Arabidopsis thaliana: one gene and its partners. The protein of the gene in region 2 interacts with the protein of the main gene of each other region in a pairwise test. Each region holds a gene or a part of one and is shown on either strand. Other genes may lie near its edges.

Region 1 (3,860 bases), on a different chromosome or scaffold from region 2:
ACGAAGAGTCTCCATTTGTTCATCCGTCATTACTCTACTACCATACCTACCGTTTAGGCTCTCTTGCTCCATCTCCTCTTTCACCACTTTGCCTTCTCCTCTCTCCTTTTTACCATATGAAGAAGACAATGTGGAAGTGAAGGTGTTATGTATTTTTCTTTTTGAGAAATCTTTAGTTATTTGTTACCGTTAACTTTAAACAATTTATGGAAAGATGTCAAACTAGGATCAATTGTCTGATTTTTTTTCTTTTTCAATTACTAGTTAATTGAGGTAATTTTGGGATTCAATTGGATAAATAATTGATATATATTCTAATTGTGTGGTCATGTAACCAATATCCGATTTTATATGATTTTTTGTGTGATAACAATAAATTTAAAAACAATGAAAAAAGCTATGGTCATGACTAGGATCGGTTATTATGGTCAATTGCTTCTACTCTTTAGTGTCATTTGAATTGAGATTTACCGGTCAAAATATCAACCGAGTTTAAGATGGCATCACTTTTCTTTCTGATGCTGAAAAAGATGTGGGCATATATATCAAGTTGAGGAACACAAAATTATAATAAAATTGAAGACTTGTTGTTAATGTCACACACAAACACACACAATTCTATTTTATGAAAACAGAGTAAAAGAAAACAGAATAGATTAGAGATCTTCTTCATCGAAGTCTATACGAATTTTAAGTCTCCATAAATTTCCCTATACTCAACAAATGCTCAATCCCTGAAACCACAAAAAAAAATGCAAACTCAAACCAAAAATAAAAAATAAACCTAACCAAATGTTTAAAAACTCAAATGATCTTTTTACCTAAGTCAGGACTTGGGAAGAGTATATGCTCATAAGACTCTAATCCCCCTGAATCTCCACAACTCCTCCTTTCCTCCGTTGTCACCGCCACATCGTCAGCCTGACCATTAGCTGTCGTCGTTTGAGGCTGCTTTCGTTTGGACCGAGCTCGCCGGTTTTGAAACCAATTGTAGACATTTGTCTCCGTGATCTGTCCATGTTCAGACAGCTCCGTCGCGATCTCTCTAATCCTCCGTCGATTCGGTGTTCCACTTCCTTCGTCGTAAATGCTCTCAAGTATCTGAAGCTGTGTTGAAGTCGGAGTCCACCGATGCCTAGTCGATATCCTATGAGAACTTGACGATGCCCCCATCGGATCAAAGTATCCGCCAACCATTGGCCTCACTCCTTTTTTACACTCAATCATTATAAAAAAATAAGTGACGTGACCCTTAAGTTTCTTCCATGTACAAAATATGTATTATCAAAACCACAAAGCACTAATAACTCAAGCTTCTTAAAAATCGGCCACGACATGATAACCCTCAAATCAGCTTACGTCTAGAGAAAATAAACATTAATAATATATTGAATTGTTCGATCTAAGCAAATCATAAACTATATTAACAAATATCTTTAGCAATGATAAATCGATATCTAAGCGGTAGGTAAACTGTCTTCGAATGTCTAAAACATTATGAAATTTGATTCAAAGTTATGCATCGAACACTGGGAAAAAAAAAGCCTTGGATTTCGTTAGTTGTATACCAAACGCAAACACAATTTTCACATTTTTACACTAAAGTCTCAATGGGTCAAGTGTATTAATGGAAACAACGTTTGCATCGCAAAAAACGCTGCGTTTAAACACTTTCGTCTTACACACTTCTTCTACCGTATACAAAGAAGCTCATCAAATGGTCTCTTGTAAAAAAATCAAATACATAGAAAAGTGATTGTTGTTAATCAGGAACAAAAACAGAGAGAAGTGTACCTGATGAGAGTGGATGGTAAGAAGAGAGGGAGTTGTGGAGGAGGACGAGTTGGTCACAAATAACGGCGTAAACGGCGATCTGCTTACGGAGAATCTCCATCTGCTCCTCAGTCATCACTCTCCCACTATACGCACCGTTTTGGATCTCTCTATCCATCTCCTCTATTTCTTTGCTTTTCTCCTTTTCCTTTTTTTTTTTTACCATATGAACAAGACAATGAGAAAGTGAATGATATATATATTCTTTTGTTTATGAATAAAGGGATCTTTAGTTTATTTGTTACCGTTAAATCAAACACTTTTTGGAAAGATGTCTTTGTTTAATGATCAATTGGACCAATTTAATTTTTACAGTTACCAGGTTTATTACATTGGTTACATATTGAAAACATTGGAGAACTATGGCCTTTCACTAGGATAGATTTTGGTCGACGGTATTCACAATTTTTTGTTAGAATTTCAACATTTTAATCGAGTTTTACGGGTCAAGATATCTACCATTTGAAATAGAAAAATGTGCTAATCCAAAATATGTATCTAAGAAGATCTTAATCCTATGTGTTGATGACATAATAAGACACCACACTAATATATAAAAACAACCTAATTAAAACCAGGTATTGTTGTTACATCCGTAGAGGAACACAAACTGTGTATCTTACTTTATGTATATAGTGGTTAGGTAAAGCCGGAAGCAAGGCTTAATCACAGCATTATATAAAATATTATCGTTGTGACTTATGACTAATGATTAAACTATTGATGGAAAAAGAAGAGCATGCTTTCTTTCTTTTTCTAAGTTGATTAAGAAGAAAATGTACGAATTTGACCAAAAAGGTTCTTTGATATAAAGATGTTGACTAAAAATTTATAACATAAGTGAGACTATTCTGCTGCTAATACGCAGATTTTCACTAAAATCTTCACTTTTGTCAAAAATGATCAAATTTTTTACTTATTTCTTAAATCAAACGAAGTAATACAATCCAAAGAGAAACTCTTAATTAAGCTGATGCAAACCATTTTTTTTTTTCAAAAGATGAAAAGAGAACCAAATGATCATGGCGTTGGTAATTTGGAAAATTCAAGTATAGCCTCAAAACAATTTTACCAACCTGTGTCTAAAGTCAAATAACTAAATAAAAAGTGAAAACATGGTTTACTCTTTGTGGAACACATTGATTAAGAGCGTGATTATGCAATAGGACTCACAACCCCAATATGATTTAAGTAAAAACATGGTTTACACTAATATTTTTTTCAGGGGTATAAATCCTCATATCAACTAGAAACAAAGAGTCTAAAGAGCATTAAAACGTAGAGGAATTAAAAACTAAATCATTCATTATATAGAGCTACAAATCTCTCATTTCACCATCTAAACATTCTACATTCACTTTTTCCATTACCCGTAGAATCAGTGGGAGATAGGTAATAGTTTACTAAAACGAAACATCAGTAAGAAAAAGAAAAAGAAAAAAAAAAAAAACCACTTTAACCACCCGAATTAACATTTTAAGAGAGGAGATAAAAACATCCGAGAGATTCCTTGCAGCCTTCTATATTACGCTACCACAACTTCAACTTCTTAATCATCGTCTTCCTCCTACATCACATGTATAACAGAGTTAATACAAAGCTTTACTGATTCATACTACAGATATTTAGATTGCAGAGGTGTAAAATAACTTACCTCTTCACTGCCATCCTCAGCATCATCCTCATCGTTAACCTCTGAAACTGACTTGTCAGATTCCTCATCTTCCTTAGGGCCTTCCTCCTGAAACCACAACACACCACCATTATTCAAGCACCCCCATTAACCAAATTACCAGTTGCTTGTATCATCATTGTTTAGAATAAACATAACTCAAACTTCAATATATAGTAAACAAATTAAGAAAGCCTTGAATAGTGTGACTACTGACTAGTATAAAGAGAGTAGACAACTCAATAACGTGGTTAATATAAACATAACATAGCCTTCTATATGCAAATAAACAATTACCAATTTCTTGTTGTAGGCTTTCATGTTCTTCTCATACTCAACCTTGCGCTTGTCAGCC
Region 2 (8,305 bases):
TTATGGCAAGCCTGAGCCTTTTGTGATTTTCCCTGAAATTACGTTACCTGATCCAAAATCAATCTCAACAGACTCGCAATTAGTTGTAGTTCAAAGCTACTTTACTTTCAATAAGTTTTGGATGAATTCTCCTTATCACTTATGCGATGGTGGTGTTTCTAAGAAAGAGAAAGCGAGTTTAGATATTGAGAGGTATTCAGATTCGTTTGAAGCCGAAGATGAAGTCTAATAAGTATGGATCTTTCTTTGATTTTCTTCTTCTTAGACCTGATAACTTCTCTAAAGAACTTGTTGGAGATACTCGAAGAGAACAACGGCCTGTGAAGAGAGCTAAATGGAGTCAAGAAGCTGATTTGCAGAAATTGGATGTGTTTGAGAAGCTTGAGTCTAAGTTTAAGACTCAAGGCAATGAAGAGAAAGAAGACGGAGAAGATGATGAACAAGTTGTGGAATCAGAAGGAGAAGAATCAGATAACGGAGATTATGATCAGAATCAAGACTTTGATGATGATGAAGACGATTATAATCATGAGGAGGATGGTGGATTTGAAGAGGTGTATTAAGCTGCTTCTCCTTTTCCCAAAAGAATCAAGTTTTCCAGTCAAGAGAAGACTATTTGGTGTAATTTCTCAATAAGCATATACCATCTTGAAATTTTACACCATAAAAGTTAGTAGCACTATTATGGGTGCAGATGGTTGCATATGAATGATGATCTTTTTAGTTGTACCAATTTTTAGAAATTGTAGTTGGTGAAGGTTTCGTGGACAAATCTTATTGTTTGTAGAAAAACATTTTCTGATAACATAACTTTACTTGAACACTCCTTTTCTTCTAGATAGATCTTATTCGACTCATAATTGGTGTAAGATTCTTCTAATTTTAGCAAGATATCATTGACGTGGTAGTTACCATCAATAAGTAAAGATCATTGACAATTACGTGGAGCCAATAGCTACTGCTAAAAAAGAATGTTTGTTATAGATCTTAATATATTAATAAGAACAGTAACATAATGTGATGGAACATATAATTGGTGTCAAGACATAAAAGATGATTTCCAACAAACATATTAAGCTTTTACACGTGTACTTTGGGTAAGGAACTGTGACAAAATACGATGAGGCTAATTATATGGATACTTTGTTGATATGAATCTAGAAACTATTCATAGCCTTTTTATAATGCATTGTAACAAATTAGTACTTTAGTCTCGTAGTAACCAATTATTGGAAATTTAAACATTACGTCTCGCAAAAGAGTATCTTTTAATTATGACGAATTCGTTTCTGTTAAAATCAGGGTTTTTCATTCATGAGTTATCAAATTAAAATCTTTTCGAAGATTTCTAATACGAAAGTACAAATACTTTTTTTTTTTAATAAAAAATTTAAGTACAAATACCTGAGAGATTAGATGTTTTGAAAAGAAAAAAAAAATTCACAAGTTTTATTGTGGTTTGTATCCCTATCATTTAGCATATAAAAAGGTTCAATATCTGCATATATATGGTAGAATTGTATATGTTGTAAAATTTAATTTGTCTCCCTGTGTTAACTTGCCCCACAACACGTTGCAAAGTGTTATTCATATGATCTGGTTTTAAATGAATTGTTATAATTTCTTCAATCAATTTTGGTTTCAGTAAATGGAAAAAAAAAACAAGAAATCGAATTAATATTGATTTAGTTACCAATATATATTTGATAAATTTTCAAAGAATTTAAGAAATCTGTATTGTGTTCAATTTTTTGGTTCCGTTTCTGGGTAGGTCGGCCCCGGGTCTTTCTTTTCCTGTTGTTCTGTTCCTGCCACGAGAATGTCAAATAACTTTGAAGACAGAAGTTATCCTATCGATGCTGTATTCATGCCTGTTGAAAATGCCACCTAAGAAAGGACGGAACTGTCGAGTAAGGATTGGCCGGGCAGAGGCCTTTGGTGTCCACTCCAGTCAAGAATTGGAGCCTCCAGGTATTAGCTGTTAGCCGTCGGACTCATTTAAAGGATTTAGTTTGGTTTCTACGAGCTTCTTATGATTGCTAATAATAAGTAAACAAGTTAAATAAACCATTCCAGGATAATGAGAATCTGTCAATCAGATACACAAAGTCAGTGATATCTCGCAAGCAAATCATCTCAAAACTCGTGCACTTCTTTATACGTGTCATAACAAGGAATATTTTTCTTTTTTTGATAAGATTTGGAACGTGAGAAAAACCATGTAGCCGGCAGTTTAAAAAATATTTTCGTTATAAGCAACCTAAAAATGATGATTGGATAATAGAAGGGACTATATAATATACAGTTGAGGAAGATCTGGATCTCGTTACCTACCGAGACCATTTTAACACCGTCGATCATTTTAAATTTGAGAAACTCGAAAGGTCAATTGATAATGTGGCAAAACAGGAGGCAACACAAACGATGACTCATCAGGCTCATCTCTGTGGCCAAATAATTTGACCAATATAATAGCCCGACAGCTAAGAGAGTCAGATTTGTCAGTAATAATCGGACCAATCAAATTTAAAAAATCAATTATTGTTGAAGTTTTGTTGGTTGATACGCAAAACCCTATGCTATATATATACATGTGTAGGGCAAGTTGAGTAAAACAGATCGATCAAGAAAGCAAAATACAAAGCTCAAAACACATTTCTAGAACAAAATCAAAACAAAAGCATATTATATAAAAAAAAATGTCGAATATGCTCGTCAAGAATCAACTAAGATCTATAAGCTTACCTTCAAGCTCGCATCCAAGCACGACCGGTATCGAGGAATCTCTTAACAAGGTCAAAACGATTAACACCATGACGGGTTCGTCCGAATCAGTCTTGATGGGCTTGGAGGGTTTGGAGGAGCTCTACAATTGTACGGAAGATTTTCTGAAAATGGGCTCAACGCAACGGGTTATGTCATCATCTGATGGATCCGAGTTTATGGAGGAGATGCTTGACGGTTCGTTGAGGCTAATGGATATATGCAGTGTCTCGAGGGATCTCATGGTGGAGACTCAAGAGCATGTTCGTGGTGTTCAATCATGTGTCAGGAGAAAGAAAGTAGTCGGAGGAGAAGACCAACTCGATGTCGCCGTCGCGGGGTATGTCGGATTTAGAAAGAACATGAGAAAAGAAGCTAAGAGGCTTCTTGGATCTTTGAAGAACATTGATGGAGGTTTAAGTTCATCATCATCAGTAAATAATGGTGAGCAAGAAGAACATCTTGTGGTGGTTGTAGACGCCATGAGACAAGTAGTTTCCGTTAGCGTCGCGGTGTTGAGGTCGTTTTTGGAATTCTTATCCGGACGACGACAAAGTAACATTAAGAGCAAGCTGGCTTCGGTACTAAAGAAAAAGAAGGTTCACCATGTTGAGGAGACCAAGAACGAGTTGGAGAATTTGGATCTCGAGATATTCTGTTCTCGTAATGATCTACAAAAGAAGCTTGAGGAAGTTGAGATGAGCATTGATGGATTCGAGAAGAAACTAGAAGGACTATTTCGAAGGTTGATAAGAACACGAGCCTCGCTTCTCAACATAATATCTCATTAGGTTTTAAAGTATTCATGTAATGTAACCTTCAAAGGCATTCGACTTTAGAGAATCTGCCGGAGGGATACATCATAGACGCATGGATAAGATATTGTACACTAATTAAACATAATTTTGTAGAGATTAATTTGTAAAAATATACACAATAATGCATTGATATATACACAAGGCAGACTTTAATACATGAACAAATGAAAGTTTAAAATACATATAGCATATTTATAAATTTACAATTAAAATCTTACAGAAAGAAAAACAAAAGAACTAGACTCTTAATCCAAAAAAATCATGATATTCATAAGAAGAGGTGGGAATTCGGACCATGGGTCACATGTGTACCGGTTTAGTTATTTTCCGGTTCATACCAACTGAAGAAACCAAGTTATAAGCGTAAGTTCTGGCAGGGGCAATTTCGTCAAAACGAGATTTTGATTGGATCCTACGGACGCAACCTTTTAAAGAAAAGGCGCGAGAGAGATCTGAGCGAACACGTTAGACACACATAAAAAAATAACGGTCATAAACCGCCGTGTGGTCATAGAAACTATATAAAGACCACTTCGATTGAAATTGAAGACGTGGTATTCTAAATCTCTGCAAAGAAGAAATTATGAGTAATCCCGAGAAGTCTAAAATTGCTGAGGAAGAGAATGAGAATTTTGACGAGAGTGATTATCTTTGGAGCGATGAAGAAGGAGACATACGTGAAATTGTTCTTGGCCTTCCTGCACTAAGACTTAGTGAGAGTCTCAATGTGGATGAAAGCATCCGTAACGAAGCCGTTTCCGCGGCGAAGTTGATCGTGGCAGCCGCCAAGGAAGCCACAGGGAATACAGAACAAAGTGCTAGTGGTACCGGTGACGTTAGTGGAACTCCAGAAATCATAAAAGTTGGGAAACCCCGTGTATTATTGGAAGCGCTGGCCGAAGCATCTGGTTGTACCCCTATTGGGGTGACCACTACTGAAGGAGAGGTAGTCAAGAAACCCCGTAAGAAAGGTTCTACTCAGTTGACACATCTGCCGCAAGGCCCTCCTATGTGTAATGTTTGTGGGAAGGGCTTTGCTTCTTGGAAGGCTGTTTTTGGACATCTAAGGCAGCATAAGGATCGAGGGTATCTAGGTTTTCTTCCTCCGCCAACATTCAATGCTGCTGAGGAAGGATTTGGTGGAGTTGCTACTGCTTCAACCGGTGGTGCAGTAGCCACTGCTATTTCCGTTGGTGAAGTCCCTACTGCTTCTTCCGCTGGTGGACTCGCTACGGCTTCTTCCGATGGTGAAGGGCTTGTTTCAAGTATCGGAAGGGCGAGGATTGACTTAAATGCCGATCCAGTCGAGGAGGAAGACAAGGTAATTGGAGTTGGATCTAAGCGAAAATTTGATCTGAATAGGTCCCCCCCACCAGACGGTGATGAAGAGAACGATGATAAAGTCGAGTGATAGTTATTTTCTTGTTACATGCAAATCATTTTCCTTAGTTACATTTTTTCTTCGGTTTGTCGCTGTGAAATGAATATACTAACTATGATATTGTTACTTCTTAATCTATGTTATTTGAAAAGATAACTTTTTTCCAAATTGCAACAATAAATGCGCGAATGAAATAATATATTCTCTACTATTGATATGTTGAAACACTATGTAAACTTATACCTTGAGTGGGAAAATGTGAAAAGCGAATTTATATAATCCATATCCCATTTGCATAAAAAAATAATTTTTAATCCTATTTTTTAAATTATTTAAATATATTTCACTTATGTCGAAAATATACAAAATGTAAATGAAAAAACAAAACCCCAAAAACATTTTTTGTTAATTACACTGCATTATCGCAACAGTGAAAAAAGGAGACAAGAAAATAGCACATTCAATAAATTTGCAAAACGTTGAGTCTGAATAAAACAGAATATGCCCAAATTTAGTTTATATGCCATAAGAAAAACGAAGTATTACAAATATTAGCGTTAATGATTGGTAATTAAATGGAAATGTCATTTGACCAATCAGAATATGTAAAATTGTTAAAAGTCTACTCCACGATTATCAAATCAAACCACCAGTGACAACTGACAAGCAAATCTAATCAAAATCAGTGCCCCTCTTGCACATGTCATAGTGCGAGACGTTATGCAGAAGGCAATGATGTAGTTTTTGTTATATGGAATATATCTTTTTATTCCTGAGGAACCGTAAGTAGCAAACTACCTAATATGGTCGGAGAAAGATCCGGATCTCATAACCTACCAAAACGACTTCAAGAACGCGAAAGGTCAATTGATAATGTGGCGAATCTGTAGGCAACAGAGACTATGACTCATCAAGCTTTCTCAATTTGACCAATATAATAATCTGACAGGTCAGAGAGCCACAGATTTGTCAGTAATAATCGGACCAATGAAATTTAAAACATCAATTATTGCTGAGGTTTTGTTGGTTGATGACGTTTCAAAAACCATTGCTATATATATAGGCATGTGTAGGGCAAGTTGAATAAAACAGATCGATCAAAGAAGAAAGAACACAAAAACCCTTAAAACACCTTATATCAAAACACAAAAGATGGCGAATATGATCATTAAGAAACAGTTAAGATCTATAAGTTTACCTTCTAGATCACAACCAAGCACAAGTGGGCTCGAAGAATCTCTTAATAAGATTAAAACAATTAACACCACGACGGGTTCATCCGAGTCGATCTTGATGGGCTTGGCTGGTTTGGAGGAGCTCTACATTTTTCTGGAGGAGTTTCTGAAAATGGGTTCAAAGCAACGGGTTATGTCCTCTGGTGGGTCGGAATTCATGGAGGAAATGCTTGATGGTTCGTTGAGGCTGATGGATATCTGCAGCGTCTCAAGGGATCTAATGGTGGAGACTCACGAGCATGTTCGTGGCGTTCAGTCATATGTTAGAAGAAAGAAAGTATCTGGTGGAGGAGGAGGAGATAAAATCGATGTCGCTGTCTCCGACTATGTCGGATTTAGGAAGAACATGAGAAAAGAAGCCAAGAAGCTTCTAGGATCCTTGAAGAAAGTCGATGGAGGGACTCGTTCATGTGATAATGATCATGAAGATGAACAACTTGTGGCGGTTATAGATAGGGTGAGACGAGTGGTATCGGTAAGTGTCGTCGTATTGAAGTCGTTCTTGGAATTATTGTCCAGACGAAAAAGTAACATAAAGAGCAAGTTGGCGTCGGTACTAAAGATGAAGAAGGATAACCATGCGCCAGCCAAGAACGTGTTGGAGACATTAGATTCCGCGATTTTCGGAGATTTTTTATCTCATGATGATCTTCAAAATGAGCTTGAAGAGGTTGAGATGTGCATTGGTGGGTTCGAGAGAAATCTAGAAGGGTTGTTTCGAAGGTTGATAAGAACACGAGCCTCGATTCTCAACATAATCTCCCATTAGGAAGAAGTTAATATATGCAATGTAACCTTCGTGAGCATTCGGTTTTAGAGAATTTGCCGGAGGGTTGCATTATATAGAATAATAGAAAAGCATATAAAATATTTTGTACACTAATTACAAACTGTGTGAAATAGAATCAACATTGCAGTTATATACCCATAAATCTTATGAAACCATCTACGACTCATAATTTAAAATGACAAAATTAGTCAGAAAGTTTCATAAACTCGAATGGATGACTTGAAACTTATACATATCTTGATTTATTATGTAAAAGGAGATCGGAGAGTTGACTTCTCAGTGTAAACTCACTGACCTAACGTGTATACAATTTCTAGACAGGAAAAAGAAAAAGAACGTGTATACAAGTATCGTTGCTGAATTTTATGCATGCTATAGTATTCGAATATCAAATCATGAACGTCAAAGATGCTGATATAGTAGCTAACCATATTTATTAAAACTGTAAATATTTGTTAAAATGTAGATTTTCTTTTCCATAGTTCACAAAAAAAAAAAAAAAAAAAAAAAAAAAAAAAAATCCATTTGTAAAGAAATTTCACTTTAAATATAAGATGGATTTTTTAAAAAAGATCTAGAAAATCTAGCGAAATAGATTTTTTTTTAATTGGTTTAATTAAGACGCTCATTTTATTCACACATGTCGATCACAGTTGTATGAAATTTGTTTGCTTGTTAATAATGGCATCTCCATTAATGGTATCTCCATTGTTTTTGATGTATCTTTTTTTTTCATATTACGTTGGGCCGAGTTTGCAATAGACATGAACCCAGTTATATGGTTCAATACCAAATATACATGTACCCAAGATCATGTAATTAACCAACATCTGAAACCGTTTTAACCCAACCCCTCATCCAATTGCACTATTAATATCTAAACCGAGATTTTACGAAAATCCTTTACAACGGCTACACTTTCGAATATTTTGACCGAAGGTATATTTAATATTTCCATCAAAATAAGTTGTAGATTTTAAATCAGTAAATGAATAGTTACTAAAATTTGAATTAGTCACTTCCACAAGTTAACATTTTGAAACTGGTAAAAAGTCACTCATTTTCTCTCGTCAACGATTGTATCAAAAGTGCCTTTACTTTTGGTCTCGATTGACACTTTATTTTCAACGATAATCCTTAAAGCGAAAAGATCCCAAACTCGAACCAAAAGGTAATCTAAACCTGATAAATGGAAAATCTGATATGGACACTCCTAAATTCATGGTAACATAATTGCTGACGTGTGACGGTGTTATTCAAGGGAGGCATCGATCGATCGTCTCTTGCGTGGGACCACATCATCCGTGCATACATTACA
Region 3 (3,555 bases), on a different chromosome or scaffold from region 2:
ACTTTCGCATTCATCATCAACTCGTCATCATATGTATGTTTTCATTCACATGGAGTTAGTCCAGAATAATAGACTGCATGCCGTTTAACGGTCTAAACAAAGACAACTTGTAGTAACGTGTTTTCTTACAAAATGACATAGCAAAATTAGCATGCATGGCTCAGGAGTTATCACATATCGTTAAAACATTTTGGGTTTGCTTTTAGCGATTGCCATTTGTCGAGTGTCTCAAAAGATTCTTGTGGCCCGTATAATGGGCTTTAGAATATCGTTCTATAAGCCCATCAAATTAATGAACTGAGTATTATTTCCGGGAAAGAAATAACGTTTTATGCAATTACGACCCAATTAACTTTATAGTTTTTTAAAACTGATGGGGAATGACCCAATTCAATGTTTTCACCCTCTCAATTGCAGCCATTAGTTAATACTGTAGTAATGTTTAGAAACTAGTTTCAAAATTTTCGTAGAAAAATTCATGTAATATTTTTAAAAATCATTCGATGTGCTGCATGCGTATTTCCCAAAAATTAAAGTTAATATGATTTAAGATTTTGTTCACAATTACTGCCACCAGAAAAAGGACGGTGAGATTAATATTTTACAGGTGAAAAGATTTTTCCAAGACAAGGTTTAATTTGACCATGCGGACCAATTTACTTACAAGGTGTCATGGTTTACAAAAGCCCGTTAAATGAGTAAATCCTGATCTGTTTGCCACGCTGGCAAAACCTCTCGCAGAGGCCCCACCAAATACTATAAATCATTAAATCTCGTTTAAGGCCCAAAAAATGATGCAGAGTTGCGATCGTAGAGAGTAGAGAACAGGGAAGGACGAGCGGTTATGTTAATCATGACGTCATCCTCTACGATTCTCACCGGAGATATAGATGAAGAACACCGCACGTCGTCAATGGCAGAGGAAGACACGCCTACGCATTCCCATCGACGGCGCTGGAGCACTCCTGTTGATTCCGGCGGCGAACCTCTTCAAAGCTTATCCGTGAGCAGATCTCTAGAGATAAAATCAGACCACGAGAATCCCGACGACGAGTGCAGGGAACATAGAGGTGTGTGTGGAGTTATTCTTGACGAATATTTCTCGTGTTCTTCGAAAAATAACAGTTACAGTTTCTATCTAGGAGGGAAGATATCGCCGTGGGGACCGTATGGACCGCCGCTGCTGACGGAGTCGAGATCAAAGGCGCCGTCGCCGCGGAGAGGAAGAAGCGTGACGAGGAAGCGAGATCTGCCACCATTTTTGACGACACTGGATTGTAACGGACGGCCGAGATTTCATCACAGGAGAGTGAGAAGCGAAGGACGGTTAGAGATTGCCAGCGTGGCAGTAGATTCACCGGAGATCGTTAGTGTTCGTGGGAGAGAAGGACTAAGAATCGGAACAGTGAGAATCAGTCAACAAAACGACGTAGTAGAAGATGATAATGAAGATAAACAGAATCACTGATCTTCCTCTTAGAATTTTGATATTTTCAGCTAATTTTCCGGGGGGAAAAAACGACATTGTAGTCCGATGATCCGTTAGAAACAAGATAAGAAAAGGGAATTATGGGCTTTACTTATGAATATTAGGCCCATAATAATATTTTGTTGCAAAACAAACCTGGGCCTGAAGCCCAAATAATTCGCTCAAGCCGACGTGTTAATTTATGATTTGTCCGTCACAGTGATACATTAAAGCACAGGCTGTGCGGTTATCACACTGTTCGCAGGAAGACTTATTTGAGAGAGTTTTACTTTTGGGGGACACAAAGATTTGGAGAAAAAGTTTACTAAAAAAGAATCTGGGGAAGTAAGTGAGATGAAGGAAGAGGAGGAGATCGGAAAACCAGCGAAACCAAAAGCCAAGGTAGTCCCACAATGACTTACATATATTTCGCTTTCCATTTTCTAGGTTCCGTTCTTTGCGTTTTTCTTCTCTTTATTGTGTTAGATGCGAACCTTCTTATAATTCCGGTCAAAGTGCATGCGTTTTTCGTGTTCTTACTGTCTTTGGAGATCTCAGATCCCGTATTAGTAGTTACTATTGATGGAGGAAGTTATACAAGGCATAGAATTCTAGGTTATCAGTTTTGGGGTTCACGATTTTTTGGTGCTTGGAAGTAAATTGTTGGTAGTTAACTTTGAAATCTTTGGTCTTGCAAACTTTGAGTCAGTCTCGTGATGTGTCGTTGCTTTCAGTTATTGCTCTAAGAAAGCCTTGGTTCTTTTCTTTAACGCTTGCTGGAGTAGTGTCGCTCCTTATTCTTGCCTTACATTATATATTTCTTCTACGCTCACAAGTCTTGTGTGGGGTTGTTTCACTGAGACTTAATGGCAGAAAGATGTTGCTCCTGGGAGGTTGATTGATACCTATGCTGCACAGTGCGATAACTGTCACAAGTGGAGGGTGATTGATAGCCAGGAGGAATATGAAGATATCAGAAGTAAAATGCTCGAGGATCCTTTTAACTGTCAGAAGAAACAGGGCATGTCTTGTGAAGAGCCTGCTGATATTGACTACGATTCTTCTCGGACTTGGGTCATTGACAAGCCTGGTCTCCCCAAAACGCCTAAAGGTTTCAAGAGAAGCTTAGTTCTCAGAAAAGATTACTCTAAGATGGATACCTACTACTTTACTCCTACCGGGAAGAAGCTCAGGAGTCGCAATGAAATCGCTGCCTTCGTTGAAGCCAATCCGGAATTCAGGAACGCACCACTTGGAGACTTCAATTTCACTGTCCCCAAGGTCATGGAAGATACTGTTCCCCCTGATCCGAAGCTTGGCTCTCCTTTTCCAAGCACTACTACCACTACTTCAGAGAAGAGCAGTGTCAAGCAGAGCCATAACTAATATGTTCTCTTCTACCTTCTTTCTGCTCCCTAAAGCAATGCGTTTTGAGTCTTTATAGATTTGATGTTCTCTAAAACTGTTATGATATTAACATCTCTAAGCAAAAAAATATGATCTTTTGTCTCTTCTTTAACCGGAACTCAAATGTTAAATATTCTTTTAATTTGGATTCTTACACCAAAGAAACACACTTATTCCTTACAAGTCCCCTCGTAAAACATTAAGTAGAGGCTACAACTCCGGGAATTCTCTCATGGCAAATCCTCATGCACCTTATAGTGAGCGGTTCCTCTTGAAGAATACTGCACGATGTCTCACAGACTTCCTCGTTGGACATGAAGCATCCGGATATGCATTTTTTATAGGCCTCCGGTTCGGTGTAAGACAGGCATTTTCTGTTGCATTTTGTCTGCAAACCCTCATTAGCAACACCTTCTCCTCCTATGACCATCATCTCTGGTTTGGACTTGGTGCGAGGGCAAACGGCCATGCAATGTTGAAAGAGTCCTTCAAAGGGGTTGCAAAATGCCTCACAGAAGGGATTGTGTTCTTCTTCTTGTCGTCCACTTGTCTCTTTCTCTATCTCCATCATCAACAGTTCATTGCACTTATCTTCACACTCTTTCTTCTTGTTGTGGATATCATGTTTACAGTTGTGCTTGCACTGTTCCACCACCAAATCTTCTACTGCACTTGACACT

The links.
Region 1: the proteins of DAZ3 (region 2) and WOX14 interact in a two-hybrid assay, tested with the Arabidopsis thaliana proteins (one large-scale study listed by BioGRID).
Region 3: the proteins of DAZ3 (region 2) and MBD4 interact in a two-hybrid assay, tested with the Arabidopsis thaliana proteins (one large-scale study listed by BioGRID).

The regions. Positions count from the first base shown.
Region 1 is NC_003070.9:7,180,697-7,184,556, reverse strand, and holds WOX14 (WUSCHEL related homeobox 14), read right to left. Parts: upstream 2,000-3,860; coding exon 1,795-1,999; exon of another isoform or gene 1,228-1,794; coding exon of another isoform or gene 1,209-1,227; coding exon 822-1,208; coding exon of another isoform or gene 805-821; exon of another isoform or gene 735-804; coding exon 691-734; 3' UTR 501-690; downstream 1-500. Other genes in the region: WOX10 (WUSCHEL related homeobox 10), read right to left, coding at 1-72; HMGB3 (high mobility group B3), read right to left, coding at 3,364-3,400, 3,488-3,567, 3,797-3,860. UniProt on the Arabidopsis thaliana protein: Acts redundantly with WOX4 downstream of the TDR/PXY receptor kinase to regulate procambial cell proliferation and differentiation in vascular tissue, independently of any role in vascular. Involved in the regulation of gibberellin (GA) biosynthesis pathway.
Region 2 is NC_003075.7:16,919,187-16,927,491, forward strand, and holds DAZ3 (zinc finger (C2H2 type) family protein), read left to right. Parts: upstream 1-4,132; 5' UTR 4,133-4,164; coding exon 4,165-4,992; 3' UTR 4,993-5,148; downstream 5,149-8,305. Other genes in the region: AT4G35685 (DNA-directed RNA polymerase III subunit), read left to right, coding at 1-192, 266-563; AT4G35690 (hypothetical protein (DUF241)), read left to right, coding at 2,700-3,554; AT4G35710 (DUF241 domain protein, putative (DUF241)), read left to right, coding at 6,115-6,966.
Region 3 is NC_003074.8:23,293,572-23,297,126, forward strand, and holds MBD4 (methyl-CPG-binding domain 4), read left to right. Parts: upstream 1-1,713; 5' UTR 1,714-1,822; coding exon 1,823-1,870; intron 1,871-2,341; coding exon 2,342-2,854; 3' UTR 2,855-3,055; downstream 3,056-3,555. Other genes in the region: AT3G63020 (hypothetical protein (DUF3049)), read left to right, coding at 854-1,468; AT3G63040 (uncharacterized protein), read right to left, coding at 3,075-3,555. UniProt on the Arabidopsis thaliana protein: Transcriptional regulator that binds CpG, CpNpN and CpNpG (N is A, T, or C) islands in promoters regardless the DNA methylation status. Plays probably a role in gene silencing.